3 linked regions of the Cricetulus griseus genome follow. The protein of the gene in region 2 interacts with the protein of the main gene of each other region in a biochemical or structural test. Links are inferred from orthologs where the notes say so. Each region holds a gene or a part of one and is shown on either strand. Other genes may lie near its edges.

Region 1 (5,184 bases), on a different chromosome or scaffold from region 2:
ACACACACACACACACACACACACACACACACACACACACACACACAAATAAATTTTCTTTAAAAATCCATGAATCATTTTCATTAAAAGACATTGATTGTATAAGCTAGGTATAATGGTATAAGCCTTTAATTACAACACTTGGGAGGAAGAGATAAGTGTATCACTGTGGGTTAGAGGTCTACACAGCCAGTGCTTCATAGTGAGACCCTACCTCAAAAAAAAAGAAAGAAAGAAGGAAGGAAGGAAGGAAAGAAAGAAAGAAAGAAAGAAAGAGAGAGAAAGAGAAAAGAAGCCAGGCGTTGGTGGTGCATGCCTTTAATACCAGCACTCAGGAGCAAAGGCCAGCCTGGTCTACAGAGTGAGTTCCAAGACAGGCTCCAAAACAATACAGAGAAACTTGTCTCAAAAAAACAAAAAACAAAAAAGAAAAGAAAATGGAGAGGAGGATGTAGCAGCAAGATGGTGAAGCAAGTGAAAAAACACTTTCCATGCAAACATGATGACCTGAGTTTGACCAAAACTGACTCCACAGAACTGTCCCCTGACTTCCACAGGTATACCATGTATATGCACACAAAAATTATATACACTAGATAGATAGATAGATAGTAGATAGATAGATAGATAGATAGATAGATAGATAGATAGATATAGATAAAATTTGTCCTGGACTAAAGATAAAACTTCCCTGATGAACTACCTACCTAGCATGAAAGTAGGTTTGATCCCAGCACCACAAACACAGGGGCAGAGCTGCAAGCCTATAATCCCTGGGCTCAGGAGATGGAGGTAGGATAACATCTTAATATTTAATTTTTAAATTACAATTATTTGCTTATGACTATGTGACATGGCATATGTGTGGAAGTCAGAGGACAATTAACAGAAGTTGTTTGTCATGAGCTCAAACTCAGGGCATCAGGGTTCCGGACAAGTGCTTTTACCTGCTGAGCCATCTCATAGTCCTGAACATCTTGAGCCTGGAGCATGTTTCAGCCCCTAAGGTTAGAGTTAATTGAATAACATTTAAGAGACAGCTACTGTATTTGGGAGCAACAATCTAACTCACATGAAGGAAAAAAAATTGAAGCTTTATCCTAAACAGAAACTTCATACACTGCTCAGCTATAATGAAATCAATCCAGGATTAGACGGCAATGTTAAATCCTATAAGCCCATCAAAATGAAAAGCACATAATACTTATTACATGCTGGAACTACACCAGAAATGATGCTACTGCATTGGGTCACTGCTCGAGGCCTTAAAGAAGAAGACAGAATTTTCAATTAGCTCCAGAGTCCATGCATGGACTATCAGCATCTTCAAATCTCCAGACCAGTTCTACAAGGGAGTCTCAATAGTTCACCAGGCAAACAGAAACCCAAGGCAAGCCCTGTTCAAACAGGGTGGGGGACTTCACTGTCAGAAGACTCCTCTGCATATCCAGAGTCTGGACTTTGCCCCTCCAAAGCCAATGCAAGTATTTACTTCTCTGAGCCTCTTGTTTTCTCCTCTATAAAACAACAAGACCATCAACCTGGAAAATTATTTTGTAAATCAAGCCTTCAGCTTGTGTGTATCACCCTGATACTAAATTGCCAGTTTATAAACTGTTGCAAAGTATCTCTTTCTGAGAATCCCCATTATACTGTGTGAGAGGTATTCAAATTGTAACATTTTTATCAATCTTTTATGTTTAAATACGATGTTTTAATACAGAAAAATGAAAATTTTGGTACCCAGGGCTTCACACATACTAGGGAGAGCTCTACCCACTGTATTGTACTTCCAAACCTGATTATTTTTAAACTGGCATTTTATGTATGCTAAGTGGAGCCTTATGTACCAGGAGAAATTTTAAAACTAGTGAATTTTTTAAAATGTGGACTGCCTATATATTCAGACCTTGCATGGTGGAAATCTTTAAAACTGTCTAAAGGCGACTGCCTTTCAGAACCCAGATACAGACCAGTTGTCTAAACAATAAATGATCCACCACAGACTCCCGGCAAAGTCACAACAGGATGACAGAAGAGCCTTTGGCCTCTCTCAGATTTCCTGGCCACTGTTATTTTAAAACTTGATCACATAAACAGGGGAAAATCCCTTTCAGATAAGCCCCTATGAACTATAATTTACCACCTTTGTTTTTAATACCTGGTGGCAGTTTCCATAAAATATCATAGTCGTTCTCTCTTCTTGCTCATGTGTCTAGATAATAGAGCATATGTATATTCTATACTACATTTAATCACAATAATCTTTTCTTAATGGTAGTATTAGGTCCCTGTCATTTACAAGTAACTTTTGAAAGTAGATACATAACTAGAAAAGAGAAGGAAAAAAAATAAGTAACAGATCACACACACAAAATAAAAACACTATGGGCAGATGAGCATCAGCCTAAAAAGACTTGTTTACCACTGTGCATGTTTACTCCTGCACAATGGAAAACCCCAAAAATGACATTTAAAAGTCAATGAGCTATTCTGAAGAGCTGCATTGTTTCTGACTCTTCCTTTGGTCCCCTTGTAACATTTTGGCTATTTCTAAAATTAATGCTAGAGGGCACTAAGGTAACTTTTTTCACTAAACATTTCCCAGTTGGAAAACCACAAGCCAAGATATCTTGAAGTTGAGTTAATTTGTACAGAAATGCTGCTGTTCGGCGGCCAACCTTTGTACCATGACCACCATCGAGACTCACATTTTATGGTGTGCAGATAGTTGCAGCTGAGCCCCAGGAGCTGTTAAAAGTCTCAAGTCGACTATATTCGAACTTCCTACAACTGTACCAGGATAGCAAACGAAACTTTTATTCAGCACATATGAGATCGCCCCAACAATGCTCCACATTAGGATTTAAACAGCCCTGCCCTACATACTTCTCGCCAGATAAAATGTAACTCTGTGTAAATATTCCAGACATAGATAACCTAAGAATGACCTTATTAAATCATTTCCTATTTAGAGATACAACCCAGAGCCAGCGTGTTTAAATTAGTTTAAGGAGTTTTGGAATTAACTAAGTTAGTTTTTTAAAAAAAATTTTCATCAACATATCCGTAAAATTCACACTCAAGATACGAGACCACTCAGGAACTAAAACTCCAGCTCCGTAGAATGCCACCATGGTCTTCGACACGGCTAAATTATTAATGGCATCATTTGATCTTTACTTCTGACAACAGACTAGTCTGTGTAGAATTTTCAGTGTGCTTCCAAAAGGAGAAAATAAAACCATCTCGCAAAGTCAGGAGAGACTCCCGGGACCGGGGACGCAGCAGCGTCAGATGACAGGCACCCCGCCGGCCCGGGCAAGGGAAGCCAGAGCTCCGGTCTGAGCCCGGCCGGGAGCAGAGGCCAAGGCGACAAGGACAGGCGGGCGTGCAGGCGCCCACACTCACCCGGGGAGGCAGGTGCGCGAGGACCACGGAGAGGCTGCGGGGCTGCGGGCGCGAAGGGAGAGCGCGACGCCGCGGCGGAGAGCGAGCACCGGAGACGACGACCGCCGGGATTCGCTTCCTGCTAGGACAGATCCCGGATCGGTCTCCGCCCGCTGGCCGGAGCCCTGCTGAGTGCCCAGCCTGCAGCGTACGTCACTGCTACGGAGCGCCCAAGGGGGCGGGAGGCGGGGCGGAGGCGGGACTTAGTGGGAGAGGGGCGGGGCGGCTGGAGAAAGGGCGGGTCTTCATGCGCAAGAGGCGGGGGCAGCCTAAGGGGCGGGGCCTCAAGACTCGAGGGCTGAGAGGGGAGGAGTCCAAGGGAGGAGGAGGGGGCGGACCGGCAAGGCGCGGGGTCTTAGGAGTGAAGGAACCGAGGGGCGAAGCCTGAAGACGTGTGGTGGGGGGTACGTGGGCGCGACTGCTAAGAGCGGGGTCCCTGGACGCCCTGGCGGGCGGACTGGGAGGGGAGGCCTGGCAGAGCCAGTGCTGAGTGGGGCGTGGCCTCAGGACTCCCGAATGCGGAGCTGGAAAAGGGCGGGGCTTAATGACTTGCAGCCTGGGAAGGGCGGGGCTTCATGGCTGGGAAGCAGCCCAGAACCGAGACACTGGGTGCATCCCTGCTAGGAGCATGCTACAGGTGGCCACACTAAGTTCCCTTCGTCCCAGTCGTGGTTGTTTCCAGTCCCGCAGCGCAGGTCCTGTGGATCTGCACCGCAGAGTCAGCTGGAGGAAATTTGAGTCAGTGGGGACAGGCGTTTTGCAGAGGGACTCACATGCGGTCTCTAGGTGGCAACCAGGCCTGTGCTCCCCACGCAGCTCTTCACCTGCCTGCGTCAACTTCCTGTTCGGCCTTTGGAGGATTGGACCGCGGAAGGAAGTTTTCCCTGCCGTGGCTGGCCTCCCACGATGTCATATTGACTTCTTAGAGCCCCTGTACTCCTACCCCGCCCCTTTTGTTGTTTATTCGGACTCTTGAGAATCTCAGTGGATAACCAGGCTGCCTGGGAACTTGCCATGTAGCCTGGGCTAGCCTCGAAATAATGATAATCCTTTGTGGGCTGGTTTTATAGGATTAAATAAACTTACCCGCTTTATCTTTCTAATTGTTTAATTTTACTTTCTTTATAAGGTCATATGAGTCATCTTTTTTAGATTAAAAACTACATTCCCATGCAAATTTGAAACATCGCCTTTATAAGGAAAAGAAGCTACTAAGAAAACAAAATAAGGAGCTGGCAAGATGTTTCAGCCAGTAAGGATACTTGCAGTAAGGACACGTGCAGCCCAGCCTGAAGCCCAGCTTTCGATCCCCAGAACCCACACGGTTGAACTTACTACTCAAATTGTCCTCTGAACACAGGGGCTCTAAACACTTGGACACTGTCTGGACAATTCTTAGAGAAGACAAGTTTCACGTGTTCAAACTGGGCCTCATACTTGTGATTCCAGATACTCAGGAGGATGCAAGTTCAATCCACACCATCACAAAAATGGTGGGGGAGGGTCAGACACGCAGAGAGGATACAGTTGGTGGGATGAAAAAGCAGGGTGGTGGTGGCACATGTCTTTAAATCCCAGCACTCAGGAGGCAGAGGCAGACGGATCTCTGAGTTCCAGGCCAGCGTGGTCTACAGAGTGAGTTCCAGGACAACCAAGGCTACACAGAGAGACCTGCCTGTCTTGAAGGGAAAAAAGAGAAAAGAAAGAAAAAAGTAAAAGCTACCTTTCAGTGAG
Region 2 (4,592 bases):
CCCAGAATGGCCTCCTTACTTAATCAGCATGCCTATTTGTCCATGAGGGAACTGAATCAAGAACATATAATCAAATATGGAAAATTCACAGTCCATATCCAAGGGATAAACTCATGAGCCTTGGCCCTGACCGAAGTACATTATTCTCCCATTTTTGACCTCTTCACAGCAAGCCTTAGAAGCAACTACTTGTTCAATGGGAAGCTAATTCATGTAGTAACTTCACAGATACAGGGGGCAGGGCTTGTTGCATTATAGAACACATTTGAAGAAGCCAAGACATGGCTTCTCTTATAAAGTCATAAAAGTGGCTTTAGGTTTGAGCAAAGCTATTGACAATGTTTCAAAACCATTTAATATTGTGAATGGAAGGAAGGAGCCATTTGGACATTCCAGCCATTCAGAAGTGTAAAAATAAATATATAAAAAGGAAGCACCCATTTACCGCCCTTCGTCCTGAACTACTTCTTTAACTCTAGTCATAGATGGTATCAATGGGAGTGCCATTTGTCAAAAAGAAAAATATTACATTTGCCAGGAAGTAAGGGCTCGATAAGGCTGCATTTGTGCCAGCCTTCATTCCCGTCTCCCAGACTCCACTCATTATGTTTCTAAAACATTTATGGTCCAGCTGGAGAAAGTAGAGGCAAGGAATGAGGAAAAAGAGAGTGCAGGCATAAAGCATTAATTTTATTACCTTTTGATGCTAGATCAAAACACAGGGTACAAGTCAAAGCCGAGGGCTCAGCTTACTGTAATGCCTTCTCCCCACACCCCCCTCCCAGATCTCAAGAGGAGACAGTCCCCCAGCTGGGTCCAGCGGAAGCCAGACCTACAACCTTCCATGGTTTGGCTGAGGATCACTGCCAATGGACAGGGGCTACACTGTGGGGCTCAGTTTGAGTTCCATGTCCAAACTTGGAAGAATCATCAGTATTCTGCAGTTGTATACCCCAAGGCCTCAACAGGGGCACATCGCCAAAAGGCTTCACTTCGTCTGAATAAATTAACAGTTATAGGGTCCAGCTGTATCTTCAGGCTGACTTGCTAAATATTGGCTGTACGAATTCTTCAAGGCACTGACATTAGACTACAGAGCTCTGGGATATGATCTAGTCACAGCCCCTGAATGCAAGTTCTCTGCCTTTCTATGGAGGAAAGACAACAGCTGCTTCCCTGTGGGTACAGGGAAAGAGCAATGCAAAAAGGAGGCTTCCAAAATGCACCACATATTTGGAGAGTCTCTCGGTGCTATCACATCGAGCCTGGCACCTATGGACTGCTCACACTCACCTGGGTTTCAGCTACTCAGCACTGGTAACAACTCCTCTCTCATCCCTACTCCGGACATGCTAAGACTTATTGTGACAGAAAGAAATTGCTCTCTTTTGCAGGGAAACAGCAAAGGAGAGAAGAAAGGAAATACAAGAAGAAAAGGGATCTTGGTGGCTGGTTCTACAGAAACTAGGAAAAGCCATGATCTCCATTCAAATCTTACCAATGGGCCAGAGAGTCCTAGTTCATCCTTGGTCCCCCACCTCCCAAGCCAGATTCTATTTGAGTTTGCACAGGAGCCAAGAAGCAAGAAACAAAGGGAATCCCCAGCAGGATGGCAAAGATTATTGTTGGGGTTTCTGAAGCCTGAAAAGGACTAGAGGCTGTGGAGGAAGAGTAACAGGACCAGACCTCAGTCAGTGTCCCTTTACCTTCATCCTGCAGCAAAAGCTCAGTGGATCCGGCAGAAATACATCTTCACCCCAGCACATCCCATTGTCTAAGGAAACACCTATGCTCCTTCTAGCTTTATCTTTGTCTAATATTTACCTCCTAGTTCTATGTAGATGCTCTTCTAGAAAAATGACTAATTATGAATTGCTAAGGGGCAAGTGTCAGGATTTGTGTCCATTCCCTGCCTACTTAGATCTAGGGGCAGAGCTGAGCCCAGAACTTAGACTTTCACTTTATGATTTAGCCTTACTTCCAGCTTAACCTACATAAGAGAGAGGATCTGAGCCCCGAAAGGAGACAGACTTCCATCTATCAAGGCAAATGGCATGGAAAGCCTGCATATCCCTACTTTTACCATGTAGACAGCACATACGGCTCTCTGGATGCATCCCCTTTACACCATCGAAACCGGTCTGACTTCAGAATCCCTTACAACTGTCTTCTGAAAGCCACTGCCAGCTGTTCAGGGACAGGAAATATTGAAAATGGACTTCTTGTCCTGTAGCGGCTCAGAGAGCCGAATTTCAGTTATTAGGCAGGAATGTCACAGGCGTGTAGGCTATGCAGGAGTAAACTCGAGGAGTGTTGCTTGAGGTCTCCCATCTGATACCCACCTCATAGGAAGTGTCTACTCCAGCGTGTCATCACTATGAGTGACATTAGCAGCCACATCTAATTCCAACTCTGGAAACATACCTAGACCTGCAAGGGGCCCCATTGGGGCAGGAGCACTTGTTTTGAAGAGATCCAAAGGGTTGGTCTGAGGGGCTGCAGGTTGTCCTGTGGGTGACGTCTGGCCTGGAGGTTCTGAGGCAAAGATGTCAGATGCAAGCAAGTCATTTGCTGAAGACTGACAAGGAGGGGAAGGAGGGAGAAGAGTTACTCAGGTTGAAGGCAAACACAGCTTCCATCTGTCTCCTACTCCTTACCCCAAAGCTAACCTCCACATAAAGGAAAAATCTTCTATTATTACTGGCAAATGATTACTTACACCAATAAATAAAAGAGCAAAGGTAAGGTGTCTGTGTGTGTGTGTGTGTGTGTGTGTGTGTGTGTGTGTGTGTGTGTGTGGTGGGGGAAGAGACGCAGATGACTGTAGTGAGCGGACTAATGGATACCACTTTGGACTTGCAAAATGAAATCTATTTTTCTCATTTTATCCTTTTATGTCAGTCTGGTCTCCTTATTGGCAAAAACTTGAAGCTGGGAAAAGGAAGGGCAACATAAGTATCCTGAATAACTTCAATCCGTTCGATCTCAATCAGTTTCAACAGAGGCAATACTACTTTGATTATTAGGTAAGACTGCACATTCCCATGAGAGCTTCTAAAAATCACCTATGGGTGCTGCACTTGGAGTCACTTTTGACTGAAGTTGGTAATAGCATTTGTGTAAGTTTCTAAGTCAATGAGTTATTAAATCAACGATTACATTTAAAAGAGGAGACAGACTTGAGAATTTTAAACCACCACCATGGACATCAGTGATGATGGGTGTCCAGGATATGTGTTAGTGTGGGGACAGGACCAAGGGAATCACAAGAACTCTCTCCCGCCCATCCCAGAACATGACAATCAAACTTACCAGAGGTACAGAAGCATAGCAGCATTAACAATGGAAAAAAAAAACAACAACTTGTGTTTAGTTTAGTATTAAGTGACAAGACATGCAAACGGAAAGCAGATGTGACAAACACTGCTGGCAAGCTTAGGAAGAATGTTGACTAGAGGGGCATATTCCTGGAGGGCCGATGTGTCTTATCCCACCTTCTATATCACAGCCACACAGGAAGCTAAAAGAGCAGCAGGGGCGAGAGCTTGCGTCACACCACCCTTTGGTACCGCGCATGCACTCTGCTAATGGGTATGTGGAAAAGACAATTCACCTTGGCAGTCCTTCTGCCTCTTCCGGGTTTGGTACTTTGTGGAGGTGGGATAATGGCTATGGAGTCATGTGCTGAGGACTGGACAGAGCTTTCCAAGTCCGGCTTTACGCCATTCGGTACCGATAGTCCTTTGGGAGGAGGGCTTTCCACAAAAGGGTTCGGGGAAGATTTGTTATGGAAGCCGTTCTGTTCTCTTTCAGATACCCCATTTTGAGTTCTCACTGCTTGCTGGGTTTGCGAACTTGGATAGGGCCACGGGCCTGCCTGAGCTTCCTGTTTGCCAGTCCGGTTAGAGATCTGGTCAAATTGCTGACCAAAGTAATCGGTATCACCGTTCAGGGGCCCTTTACTCAGCGGAGTAGACAAGCTACTCAAATTCGCTTTCTTCTGATCTGAAGATGTGAGAGAATCAAACGAAGAGGGTGCCGATTGGTCTGGCTGTGCAAAAGGATCATCACGGAAAGGATCAGGATTAGGGGTGGGAAAGAAGTTGAGATTGGCAGAAAAGGCATTTTCAGGCAAGAAGGATGCCTGAGGCTTTGGTCGAGGGAGAGAACAGGAGGTGACGCCATTTGTTAAGAATGGATTTTCTCTTAAAGAGTTCTGATTGGTGTCGATTTCAGAGTTTAGATCCACTAACAGGATATCTTTGCTTTCCTAGCACATTTGGGGAAAAAAAGAGAGAAAGAGGGAGACAGTGTTAGTCCATGTTATAACTTCAAATGAGAAAACTACATCAAAACGACAAGGATTACCAGGGTTCCTATTAGAATTTGGGACTATTACCATCTCCCATCAACTCCCTGAGTGTTTACTAGCTGGGGATTAGTTCCTTACTCAGTGAGCTATAACTTTCCATGGGGTCTGCTCTTCCTTGAGTGAAATCTTGCTAAATTCATCCTCTCCTTTGTCCATTCATTCAGATGGGCTAGGTTCATTATCTGCATTGGTTCAACTGATGCCTTTGAATTAATTGGGA
Region 3 (5,105 bases), about 23 Mb from region 2:
ACTTAAATCTAAAGTATATGGAGGAATTGTAAAAATAATATGAAAATGAAAGGGACCTCCAGAATATTTTTTTAAGATTTTATTTATTATGTGTTCTGCCTGCATGTATGTCTACAGGCCAGAAGAGGATATCAGATCTCATAACTGATGGTTGTGAGCCACTCACTGTGTGGTTGCTGGGAACTGAACTCAGGACCTCTGGAAGAGCAGCCAGTGCTCTTAACCTCTGAGTCATCTCTCCAGACCCCCAATTTTTTTTTTAAAGAAAAAACCTGTAGGACTTGCATATTTCCTGCTTCCTGACTCATCATACAAAGATGTACAAAACAGTATAGTAGCAACTGTCATAAAGTAGACAATAGAATAAAACTGAGAATCCAAAAATAAACCCTTCATTGATGGTCAAGTGATATTTGAAAAAGGTGCCACCAAAACACAAGAAGACTCCAAAAGAAAAAAGAAAAACCAAGATGCTAGAACAAAATAAACATACACTTGTAAAGAATGAAGCTGTATGTACCCTTTCTTTGAACAACACACAGGATTAAGTTCAAATGGATCACAGAAGGAACTAAAGAGCTGAAACTATGAAATCTTATAAGAAAACAGGACTAAGTTAGGTTACAGAAAGGCCTCTTTGGATAACAAAAGCTTGGACTTCTTGAAGGTTTCATCAAAATTAAAAACTGGACTGCAAAAGATGTTATCTGTAAGATAAAAAGACAGTTTTCAGAATGGAAAAGGTATTTCCACACCAGGTATCTGTGCATCTGGGGTCCTTGCAATGGCCTTCAGTGGTCATGGAGCTCCATGGGCCTGGTTTTCTCCTCCACTCAATTGGCCTATAAGCAGATCTACTGCTCAGGCAAGTATTTCGACAAGCACTACCTGTACCTGCAGTCATGTTACCCAGAGAACTCTCCAAGCAAGTACCAAAAACTCATCTGACATCTGAAGGATGTCCATTACATGACTCATGAGCCAAAACCACATATTCTTGTCTTTAGACAACCTCTTTCAAAAAAGTACACCTGGAGATCACCTAATCCTTTTCATGAGCTGTATTCTTCACAGAAACAGAGTTCAGTTAGCTGGGCGTTGGTAGCACACGCCTTTAATCCCAGCACTGGGGAGGCAGAGGCAGGTGGATCTCTGTGAGTTCGAGACCAGCCTAGTCTACAAGAGCTAGTTCCAGGACAGCCTCCAAAGCCAGAGAGAAACCCTGTCTCGAAAAAAAAAAAAAAAAAAAAAAAAAAAACAGAGTTCAGTTAAATGCAATACAAGGAGGTTATTTTAAGTTGTTAAAGATAATTTTCTTTTTTTTTTCTTGGTATCTGTTTTACTTTACCTGTTGCTTTTGTTAAATAAAGTTTGTATATTGCGTTAAGAAAGAAAGCGGGAGGGAGGGAGAGAGGGAGGGAGGGAGGGAATAAAGCAGGTAGGAGTATCTAAGGGTCAAGAATGGTAGTGCAAGCCTTTAATCCCAGTGCCTGGGATGCAGAGGCAGGCAATCTGTGTTCAAGACCAATCTGGTCTACATAGTGAGTTCCAGGGCAGCAAGGGCTAGGTAATTAGACCCGATCTCAAAAAACAAAAACAAAAAAGAAATGTGCACCCAGCGGTGATAATAATGGCACATACCTATATTCCCAGCATTAAGTAGGCAGAGGCAGGAGGATCAGAAAATCAGGAAACTGTCTTTAAAAAGTGGACAAGCCCACAAGTGCGCAGGGGTGTGGGGATGGGGGGGGGGAGTAATCCAGAATATAAAAAGAATTCAGTAACATAAAGGAAATAAAGATAATGTTAAAACTGGCAATGGGTCTACACAGTTATCCAAAGAAAAATACTTAAAATGGGCAATAAGAACAAGAAAAAAAGTTCAACATCATTAGCCACAGAAAAATGCAAATCAAAACCACAAGCTGCTACTTCATGTCCACCATCATACTATACCACAACAGATAACAAGTGCTGGTGAGCATATACCCGAGACACTGCAGAGCATTTGTACAGTGCCGTAACCTCTCTGACAAACAGTCCAGCAGTTGACTGAACTAGTAATACAGTTACCATCTGCTTCTTGGCCCTTTGGCTAATCAAGTGCAAATATAGTTAACCGTATGACCCAGTAAATTCCAATCCCAAAAGAAATGAAAACACATGCTCTGAGAAACGTGTATAAAAGTGTTCATAGCAGTATTACTCATAATAAACAAAGAATATTTATGATGGGTACCAAACATCCATCACTAATGAATGGGTAAGTAAAATGTGGAATGAAATATTATTTGGCCATAAAAAGGAATATTAACATGTACTATCTCATGGATTACCTTTGAAAATATTATAGTAAGTGAAATAAGCCTGACATAGGAGTCCCATTTATATGCTGAGTCCCGAAAAGGCAGATCTGTAGAAGCAGAGATATCAGTTGCCCAAGGGCTGAGGCAAGGGGCAAACTGGGAGTGTCTGCTAACCCGTACAGGATTCTTCCTGAGGTTATGAAATTGTTCTAAAATTGACTGTGGTGATGTTTGCACAAAACAATGAGGAACTCTTCATAATATGCACTTTAAATGCATACACTGTATACATGAAAAGGGAACCTCAATAAAAACCACTCTTTAAAAAAAAAAAACTACAGCATACAGATGTTTGTGGGTACCATTCGAAACAAGTAACTATGAAGTGATTGTATTATTGAGCAAGTCCGTGCTTGAGACAGAATTAAGAATCTGCCATAGCAGTGGCTGGCGTGACTGGAAGCTGACTCCTTTCAACACTTCTATACCTCACCAAAATGAAACTGAGGTATTTACATGTTTCGGGCCATTAAAAACCAGGTTCGGCCAAACTACCTGAGGAAACACGTTACTTTTCTTGCACAGGGCTGAAGCGTACTTGCCATGATCGACCAACAGTAAGTGCAGGCAAGCACTCGGCGGGCAGACGAGAGGGGTGTGGGGAGAATGAGGAAGGTCCGTGAAATCCAACTTGCAAGGGCTTTGTGAGCAGGCCTGGAGGCAAAGTCCTGGGCGCAGCCCCACGAGCCCAGCCGCGCGCCCAGGAGGAAGTGCTCAGTCCGAGCGAGCACGGACTCCGGCGGGGCCCCGGGCCTGCGCCGCGGGAAGCAGACCCCGCAGGGCGCCCGGCTCCCCGCGCCCGACGTCGCGCACGCCCCGTCGGCGCTTTGTCCCCGCCCGGCGCTGCGGGCCCTTGGAGTCCCCGCCGCAGCTCCCGGGCCGCGCTGCCAGCCCCGGCGCCCCGCGCAGCTGCCAGCCCGGAGAACCCGGTGGCCGGAGAGGCTTGGCCAACGCGGGAGCTCGGCCGGGCAGTCCCGGGCCACGGACTCTCGCTCGGCCGCCTGAAAAGCCGCCGCCCGCCGCGCACGCAGGCCGCGGGGAGAAGCAGAAGCCCGCGGTGTTCCCGACACCCTCCGCTCACCCAGAAATTCTCCACGAAATGCGCCATGACCATCGTGCCGCCGCCGCGCCGGGTTCCGCGTCCGCACCCGCCCGCCGCTGTGTAAACACGGACCGGCCTCCACGGCGCCCCCGCCTCTCGCCGCCTCCGCCGCCTTCTTCCCAGAGACCGCCCGCCGACCCTCCAAGGCGCATGCGCCCCCTAGCGGCCGCCGCCGCCGCTGGCCCAGCTCCTGGGCGCCGCGTCCCGAGTGCGCCTGCGCGCAGCCTGGCCGGGTCCGAGCGTTCGCTGGGAATGAGGCCGAACTTAGTCTGCGAGTCGCCCAGGCTGGCGGGAGCGGAGCGACCCGCAGGCCCGGGGGGCGGAGCGAGTAAGGCCCCGCCCACTCGCTCCTCCCCGTGAGTCCAGCGTCCGGGCCTTCGAGGATCTCCCAGCTTGGCAGGCTGGGAGTAAGGAAACTTGGCCGTTGGCCACCCCGAGGAGACTGGGAAACCTTTGGTCAACAGGGAGCCTTTCCTTGACTGGGAAGTAAGATCCAAAACAAAACTGTCCAAGCCCGGAAAGGGAGGAAACGCCCAGTGTCGCCTGCAAGACTCAGGCACCGCTGCGGGTCACAAGGGAGCCAGGCAGCCTGGACCGCCTGCCGCGAGCAGGCGTGACCCGAAACGCGACCCTTCCAGGCCTGTTCACAAAGCCCATGGTAATCTTACCAACTTGTACACTCAGGGAAAAAGACACAAGTTTTAACATGCCTCGCCTAATAGAGAAACTAAATCCCTTTCCATGCCTTACTTTCCAAAAGTTTAAAAAAGCAAAAACTTTAGAGGTCTCAAGTTCATTAAAGCCAGGTCAAAAAAATCTGCAAGTTTGAAGCCAAGCTCCACAAATTAATTTAGTGTAGTTTTAACTACAATATGCACACCGGTCCTCCTAAGATCTTGTTTTCTTGATTTTCCTCCCGGAAAATAAAAACCATGCGTTGTCTTTCATGTGGATGAAATGTAAAAGATAACTATATAACGGTTGTGCCTTTATAAGGATGTCCTTCATAAATATTCATGTAATGATAAGACATCTGTGACCTCAAAAGTATTTCATAAGAGTTGGGCAGAAGAATAGGGTACAGGTGAAACAAGATTGGTATCTGGGGGTTGGATGATGGGGAAATGCTGTTCTGATATACCACTTTAAAAGATTTATGAGGTTGACTGTTTTGCCTGCCTGCAATATATATACTCCATGTGTGTGCCTAGGGCCCAGTAAAGCCAGGAGAGGGTGTGGGATCCCCTTGGTACTGAAGATACAGTTGTGAACCACCATGTGGGTGTTGGAATTGAATGAATCCTCTACAAAAGAACAGTCATGCTCCTAGCCACTGAGCCATCTCTGCAATTTCTTTGTATATGTTAACTCATCTGTTTCTTTACAATAAATATTTGCTTCAGTTCTATAAGCCATCAGTCTAGTTGGATTATCCTTGATGCTGAAGATGTAAGAAAATTCTGCCAAAAGGAGTAAGAAAGTGCACTCTGCAAAAGAGGTTGACATCCAATTCTAGTATCACTGGGTACTACCCCCTTAGATGCAAGAAGGGCTCCTGAATTCTAGGTGTTAAAGACCATACATATCGTGTGTGTGTGTGTGTGTGTGTGTGTGTGTGTGTGTGTGTGTGTGTGTCT

The links.
Region 1: the proteins of Dab2 (region 2) and Myo6 form a complex in vitro, tested with the Homo sapiens proteins (7 studies listed by BioGRID). The link is inferred for Cricetulus griseus from reciprocal best matches to the Homo sapiens genes DAB2 and MYO6.
Region 3: the proteins of Dab2 (region 2) and Fcho2 form a complex in vitro, tested with the Homo sapiens proteins (2 studies listed by BioGRID). The link is inferred for Cricetulus griseus from reciprocal best matches to the Homo sapiens genes DAB2 and FCHO2.

What each region holds. Positions count from the first base shown.
Region 1 is NC_048597.1:191,082,193-191,087,376, reverse strand, and holds the start of Myo6 (unconventional myosin-VI), read right to left. Parts: upstream 3,601-5,184; 5' UTR 3,412-3,600; intron 1-3,411. UniProt on the Homo sapiens protein: Myosins are actin-based motor molecules with ATPase activity. Unconventional myosins serve in intracellular movements. Myosin 6 is a reverse-direction motor protein that moves towards the minus-end of actin filaments.
Region 2 is NC_048595.1:340,199,910-340,204,501, reverse strand, and holds part of Dab2 (disabled homolog 2), read right to left. Parts: intron 4,271-4,592; coding exon 3,614-4,270; intron 2,579-3,613; coding exon 2,425-2,578; intron 1-2,424. UniProt on the Homo sapiens protein: Adapter protein that functions as a clathrin-associated sorting protein (CLASP) required for clathrin-mediated endocytosis of selected cargo proteins.
Region 3 is NC_048595.1:317,588,499-317,593,603, forward strand, and holds the start of Fcho2 (F-BAR domain only protein 2), read right to left. Parts: upstream 3,601-5,105; 5' UTR 3,481-3,600; coding exon 3,448-3,480; intron 1-3,447. UniProt on the Homo sapiens protein: Functions in an early step of clathrin-mediated endocytosis. Has both a membrane binding/bending activity and the ability to recruit proteins essential to the formation of functional clathrin-coated pits.